Daphnia pulex: one gene and its partner. The protein of the gene in region 1 interacts with the protein of each later gene in a pairwise test. Links are inferred from orthologs where the notes say so. Each region holds a gene or a part of one and is shown on either strand. Other genes may lie near its edges.

Region 1 (3,758 bases):
AATTCCAGTGAAAGATAAAAGACTAATAAGTCTCTTTAAAATAATACTACGTCAAACTCGAGGACTGCTTTTGATATAGGGAACGATTTTCACAAAAATTTTATTAATCGTCCCAATCGTCATCTTCATCTGGGTCCTGGCCGCTTTCATCACTGTCGGAATGGATGACACGACATCTTTCCTCCAAGGCCCTGGCCAAGGCACCGGCCATACCTTCCATGACATCGTCGCTGACGGCAACAACAGAAGCCTTTTTCTCCACGGGTTTCAGTTCCTTTCCTGCTCTTATTTGACCCAACAAATCGTTGCGTGAATCGAAGGCTGGCACTTTAGCGCCACTCTTCATCGATTGATCGGCATCACTCGGCACCGATTTGAGTTTGTGTCCCTCTTTGATGGCGTCCATCAGGGCGCCACGGACATCGGGTTGAGCTGGAGTGGGTGGGAGTGACGGAGACGAAACAACAAATGAAGGAACAGGAGGAGCAGGAGGTCCACCAAATGAAGGAGGCGGTGGAGGTGGTGGAGGAGGAGGAGGTGCACCGACAGGAGGTGGTGGGGGTGCAACGTTGTTAATTGGTGCCATTTTCGGTGGTGGGGCACGTTGAGGAGGTGCTGGAGGAGCAACAGATGGAGGGGAGGCAATCACTCTTGAAGGTGGCGGCGGTGGAGCTGAAACGGGTGGTGCCGGAGGAGCGATCCTTGCCGTCTGAGGTGTAGACGGAGGATTCCTTGCTGGCACCGGAGGTGCTGAAAACAAACTGCCGCCGGATGACTGTAAACTCGAAATCTCACGAATAGCCGCTTCTTTTCCTCCATGTTTGTCGATAAAATCGTAGATGAATTCACGTGTTGCTTTGTCTTTCAAGTGATTCTCCGATATGCCGGCCTTTCATTACAAAAGAAAAAAAAGTTAAACCATAACAGAAGTTAAGTTAAGACCATAGAAAAGTTAAACACAGAAATGCTGAGCGAAATAGTCGTCTTACTCTGGCGAAGAACTTCAACAGATTTGGATCGACGTTGTCAAGTGCAAATCCTTGATTGGGGTCCCATCCAACGTGACTGATGTGTTTGAAATCTGATGGCCCTCCAATATCCGCTTTGGTAATTTTCTTGTTCTTGTCTTTCTTCCCTTTTTTTGTCACGGTTATACTGTTTGTGATTGTCGCTGATCGTACTGCTGTAGATTTTGGTACCGATCCGTTCGTGGCGACTGGCGTGGGTTTTCCTGGTTGCGGTTGCTGCACTTGCTGCTGTGATAAACGACGGCGTTCTAAAACACAACAACTGAGCTATTAATCAACCATTATTTGTCAACATCAAAATGTACACACCTCGTTTCTCCGATTTCATCCTCAAATATTCTTTGATAGCCATCAGAAAGTATTCTGCCTCGCCTTCATTAGCAAAATTAAACCCGATGCGACATTCCTGCATTCGAAAAATATTAACCAAATTGATATTGTAATTTACTAATATGATCAAATGAATGTCAGGACTCACATCTCCCTCAAAAGTGTGAAAGTAAGGTCTTGGTGCACAGTAGTCAAAAGAACTGTACAATTCTTGCTCCCAGATGGCAGATTGCCTGTCGAGGCAAAATACTCTAAGGAAATAGGATCTCTTGATATTATCTTTGATGAAGCAGACTACACCACAATGCCGTTTGTTCCATGTGGATCTATTGGGTGGATCAGCAAAACAGACCTGAACCACAGCTGACGCCATACTCTGAAAAAGAAAAATTACAAAACATTAAATGTTGACTTTTAGAAGAATCTAGTACTGGGGGGACTTACTTTGCAGCGCAAGCCAATGAGTTTAAATAATTGATCATTTTCTTCTAGTGAAAGAATAGATGATGGTTTGTTTTCAGGTTGGGGACGCTTGGCAGCAGTCATGGCAATGTTATTACTGGTTCTAGATTTTTCAAAATGTGTCAATTAAACTTTCGATCGAAAACTAGTAAACACATCGACAAATTTATATTAAATTGTAACTGTCACACAACTGTAAATAAGGATAAGTAGTTCTTATTGTTTGAACGAATTTTTCACGATTATCATTCAATTGAATTATTATTTATACGCTTATTTCATAAACACTTACGGCAGTCACTCCCTTACCAGTCTCATGAAGATCTACACACGGTGTTTCACAATTTTAAGATACGAGAGTTTTATCTTGAGGAAATAGTCCAATACGGTCCAATGGTTTGGTCCACATCAGACAGGACGAAACAATTCCATCTAGCGGTAAATTCATAAACGCTATGAGAATCACGGGTTGGGATCAGTTGTTTACTTCATGTTCGGAATGTTGATCGCCTTTCATTTCTAAGAACTTCATCTTTTTGTGCTTTTATCTCTTCATTCGATTTGCTCCATATATCATTATTTTTTATCTTGTTGATGAATATATATATTTTTTTCAGTGATTCTTTAAACCAAAATGCATGTGAATGGAAAAGAATTAATAACCACCTCCTTCAAACCTGCGACGTGAGACATTAGATTGTGTATTAGAATAAATACGATGACTATTATACAAAAATTCTTTTTGAAATAGGATTGAAGGAAGAATAAATTACAGAGTTCTTCATCCGGGAAAGTCGAAAGGAAATTTCAAGGAATTCTGGTTTAAATTGACAGGCAATCTTCTTTTTTACTTCGGTTTGAACAATTTTGGAGGAATTAAAGGAAATGTAGGTTTGAAGTACAGAAAATAAGAATTTTGGTCTCATTTTTAAGCTGTTAAAATTTCATTTGCAGGAGCCTATTGGTGTGATAGTTTTAGAAAATTGCTCCGTAGCATTTGATGAAGATGGATCTGGGGTATTTGCTTTTGTTGTTACTTTCTCTGGTGATCAAGACAGACATGTGTTCTCTTGCTTCAGTGTGAATCAAGCACAGAATTGGGTCATAGCCTTGAGGCAAGCCAGGTAAAATTTTTCATAATAATTCATACATGGACAGTGCTGACATAAAATTAATTTTTATTTAGTTATGAACATTTGAGAATCCAAGTCAAAATTTTAGAGAGTAAACTGGAAAGTCTTGGTGGAAAGGTAAGTTTAAAAGGAAAAATTTTAAGGGAAAATTATTGTTAAAATGATAAAATCTTTGGTATGTTCAGAGCATTTTTAAATGGAGTACCACAGCAGCATCATCAAGTAGTACTACACCAAGTAGTGTATTTAAACAGCCTTCCAATTCTGCAGTTCCCGCTTTACCTACGCCCCCAGCCAGAAAACGTATCGGGCCTAAAGCAAAAACATTTGTGAGTCACATGTCTGACGAAAATCCCCTGCCGATAAATTCTTTCATAAGTGATAACAAACAGCCTGATCAAGACTTGATCAAATGGTGATTAGTGATGAAAAAAACAACCGTCCGACTTAAAAAAAACGTGCCAATCATAAAGAGATTTAGATAGATTTGTGTAATTAATATTAACATTCCTCTATTAAGCAAATTAAGTTATGTTCGGCTGATTTTCGAAATCTAGTCATTAAATAATGGCTCAAAGAAAAACTGCCTCTCGTTCGTCGCATTGGTTTGCACTTGTTACAATTGGCTATTCCGCTGTATCACATTGACATCAACAGGCAAACTAATGTCGTTTTTAGAAATCTTCTTTCTTTTGAAGCTGCGTGGCCGTGAACGTTGATGGTTATTTTCTTTTGGTGTGCAGTTACTGATTCGGTTGCAAAAGCCGGTCAAGAATGTTTGAATCAATTGGTTATCAACATTGTA
Region 2 (3,658 bases), on another chromosome or scaffold:
GGTCACCTTTTCCGGATCGACGTTGTCGGCGGCTCGGACAATTCCGTCCAAACATTTATTAATTATGGGAAAGACACTGCGCTCTATATCCACACCTTTCCTTATGAAATTCTCGACCTGTTTAATTCTTTTGTCGTCTAACTCCTGAAGGGTGTGGAATACACCTGGAAGGGCCGTCTGCAAAAAGAAAAAAAGGAAAAAAAAACGTCAACATTATTTCGATCAATAAATTAGAAACGCACTAAAAAGCACAGGCCAGATTTTTTTTTCTTTTTAAACTATTATTACGTACACGCCATGTTGACGTTAATGCAACATCTGCCGAGACAGCTCCTCCCAACCACAGCGAGGGAGCACAAATAATGACAGCATCACAATCATTTTAGCGCACTTATTACCATCCGGGATGGTCCCGAAACCTCGTTGGCTGATAATCAGGACAAGCTCGCCAAAAACGGTTTGACGTTTTTCCTTATTTTAGTCTTATTTCATTTTTTGTTTTTGTTTTTTGTTTAAAAAAGATGAAAAACAAAAAGCCGTTGGTTTCCCACGCACCTGATAATGACACGTCTGAAGCTCGTTGGCTTTCTGGAGTTGCTTGGCGTACTCGTTTTTGTTGTCATCGCACTGGTGACTTTTGATGGACGAGTTGATGCGCTGCTTTTCGACGTCGGCCCGCGAGAGGTTCAGATCGGCATCGGCTTTGCGGTACGCGTCCTCGGCCCGCTCCGCTTCCCGGAAAGCTTTTTCGTAGTTTTTCTGCGCTCGATCCAGCGCCGACAACTGCTGGTTCAACGAAGACTGCAATTTCGCACCTTCCTGTAGGGCCTATCAAACAATTCAAAAATAATCAAATCAAATCAAATCAAATAATGAAGTCATCATGAAACAAATTATGCGCCGCAAACCGATGAAGCCCATCCACAACTTTCATTCAATTGAAAAAATAAGAACCTAATTTCAAAAAGGAGATGGAAAGTAAAACGTCGAGTCTCAAGGTTGCCATCGAATTTTGAAAGTGTGACACACCCTTAGGCTATTATTACCCAAACAAAAGTCTGTTGGCTGTTCAGCTTCTTTCCATTTTGGACGTTGGTATTAAAGTAATGGATATATATCTGTTTGATATTAATTTATTTCTCTTTGTTTGCGTTACGTGGGGAGGAGAGAAAAAAGAAAAAAATTGGCTGCAACGCCAAAGGCCAAAAGCTACTGCTGGAAGAAGAAAAGTGGATTGAATGGGACACGCACGCCCGCACTAAAGTTGGATAACCACCACCCAACGAAAACAAGACAATGCCTTCAAACCGCTTGATGATAATCACAACTTTCCAAGTCTACATGCCCTTGAAGCACAACGTGTATGTGTGTGTGTGTTTGTTTCAAGTTGCGGCTATCCACGTTCAAGCATGAGAAGGGATACCGTCGAATTCCGTCGTTGCTACTTCCCCACTACTCGCAAGCCACTAACGAACAAACTTGTTAATAAAAACGATTTAAAAACTTGGAAACCATTTCCGCTTTTTTTGAGCCGCAGAAAAGTTTGTCTTTTTGGTTGGGGTTAATTTCAAACCGTGATGGAAGATGCTGGACCTATCCAAATGCTAGACGATTACGAAGAGAGTCATAGACAGGACGTTGAATATACCTTTTTGCGTTCTTCTTTCAAGTCTTTGACGAGAGCCACAATCTCTTTGGTGACGGCAGAGGTCAGGTTTTCGGCTACCACTTCATGTTGGCCGGCTTGATCGTTGACCTCGGTCAGGACATCACGAAAGGCTTTCTGGCACGAAAATCTGTTGATGAAAAATGGAAATTAGATCTATTATGCCACACGTTCAAATTCAAAGTCGATGCCGGGCCCGAGCTGCGGCAAAAAAAAAAAAAAAAAAGGCACAGCTGGTTCACCATGGACGTTCGGTGCGCCGCATGGGAACCCATTACGAGTCGTTCGGATACGGTGAGATGGATACGAGAAAAACACAACATGAACAAATTTCAAAATAAAAATGACGACGCACCAGACGAAAGAAAAAGCAATCGAGAGGAGAGAAGCAACAAGAGAGAGAGAAGAAAAATCTCATTCCCAGGCTCATCGTGCACACGCACGCTCGAGTCCATTACGAAAAGGAGGAAAACAAATAAAAACGCGAGATGCTCACACGGCCATATCTCTCGCCAATCGGAAATAACAAATAACTCGTTTTTCTCGTTCTCCCTCAACCCGACTGCGAAATAGGTGCAGTTTGAGTTGCAACAGCAGCAGCAGCTAATCGCACATTAGCTTGATGATGATAGGAATTAGCTGCTGGCCGTCATATTTCCCTTTAAGGATCGTTAAAGGCTAATCATCTGGGATTGTGGGTTTGTCACCTATTGGACATTCTGACGGAATGACTCAGCAGATGGTCGCCATGCCTTATTGTCGTTATCCTCCCCTGACGACCCAGAAAGAGAGAAGCTAGAGAGAAGAGCCATAGGATGTTGGTGGGTCTGATTAGATTTTCAGCGACAACTTCCCTCGAGTGCGGAGATAGCAGCCGAGGAAGCGCACGAATTGCGAATCAGATTCAACAGTATAATCTGAGAAACGCAATGGAGCGAGACGGTAGATAGGGAATTGTGGAGCAACACGACATAGCCCCCTTTTCAGTGCGTGACTGAGTAATTCTTCCTCCGACAGAGCGACAGGAAAAACAAAAAAACACACAAAAAACACGAAAAAAAAATCCAGGGGCTTCGTCTTTGCTTAACAAGATTGTCTATAGAATATCAACCCTTGAAGCAACACTAGCGCGAATAGGATTCGAAAATCTTCTGAGCTCTTTTCTAAAATAAAAATGAAATTTATTTTATTAGCCTGATTCTCTCTCTCTCTCTCTCCTTTTTGATCCATTTTGCGGCGACCTATATGGAGAAGTGAAAGGTCAACCGTCATTTGAAGGCAAAGAAAAACACACGCGCAAGTAACGAGGGATAATACAGAAGGAAGACTCTAACGCAGTCTACAATCATGGGGCCAACCCCTCCCGCCCTAAATTTCGTCTGTTTATTTGAAAAGTCTTTCTCGTTTCCGTTTTTTTAAACTTGACAAAAGTAATAACTTGAGTTTTTATCTATCCCACAAATGATTTCTTAAAAAAAAACCCATTTCAAACTCATAATGTTGTCCGTGACGATTAGTGGTTAATCTTATCTAGCCCACAGTTGAACCAGAAAAACCCATTTGATAATGTTGTCCGTGGTGATTAGTGGTTAATCTTAAAATGTTCATCTATTTGCTTGGTCGATATAAAAATTAAGAAACAATAACTGGAGAATAAGGTTCTTGGATTACAAAAGGTCGAAGTGTACAGAAAGAAAAGGTGTGAACATTGGTGACAAGTGGGTGGGCTGAGAGGATGCCCCAATATTCTACGGTTACCGTCTGAATTTTTTTCTACATAGTTCACCGAGTGTTCCCTGAAGCCAGACAAAAAAATTCACTTCAGTTGATTGGAGCTCATTTTTGGACTTCGTTCGTTATCCCCGACTAGAAAAAAAGCGTTGGGTTATGACCGGAATGGACCACCAGCCTAGTCTCACCCCTTTTCTCCCCCCAACAAAACAAAACTAAACAAACGGAGGACTAGTTTTCAAACTGTTAAAGAAACTCACT

What was found.
Region 2: the proteins of neural Wiskott-Aldrich syndrome protein-like (region 1) and formin-binding protein 1-like interact in a two-hybrid assay, tested with the Drosophila melanogaster proteins (3 studies listed by BioGRID, with this or other methods). The link is inferred for Daphnia pulex from reciprocal best matches to the Drosophila melanogaster genes WASp and Cip4.

Annotation. Positions count from the first base shown.
Region 1 is NC_060019.1:7,011,734-7,015,491, forward strand, and holds the start of neural Wiskott-Aldrich syndrome protein-like, read right to left. Parts: upstream 2,273-3,758; 5' UTR 2,130-2,272; exon of another isoform or gene 2,113-2,129; intron 2,070-2,112; exon of another isoform or gene 1,924-2,069; 5' UTR 1,905-1,923; coding exon 1,803-1,904; intron 1,735-1,802; coding exon 1,507-1,734; intron 1,435-1,506; coding exon 1,338-1,434; intron 1,277-1,337; coding exon 990-1,276; intron 890-989; coding exon 104-889; 3' UTR 1-103. Other genes in the region: pleckstrin homology domain-containing family J member 1-like, read left to right, coding at 2,455-2,504, 2,572-2,707, 2,775-2,944, 3,007-3,070, 3,139-3,372; wiskott-Aldrich syndrome protein-like, read right to left, coding at 3,570-3,758.
Region 2 is NC_060028.1:4,802,120-4,805,777, forward strand, and holds part of formin-binding protein 1-like, read right to left. Parts: intron 1,797-3,658; coding exon 1,649-1,796; intron 829-1,648; coding exon 556-828; intron 178-555; coding exon 7-177; intron 1-6.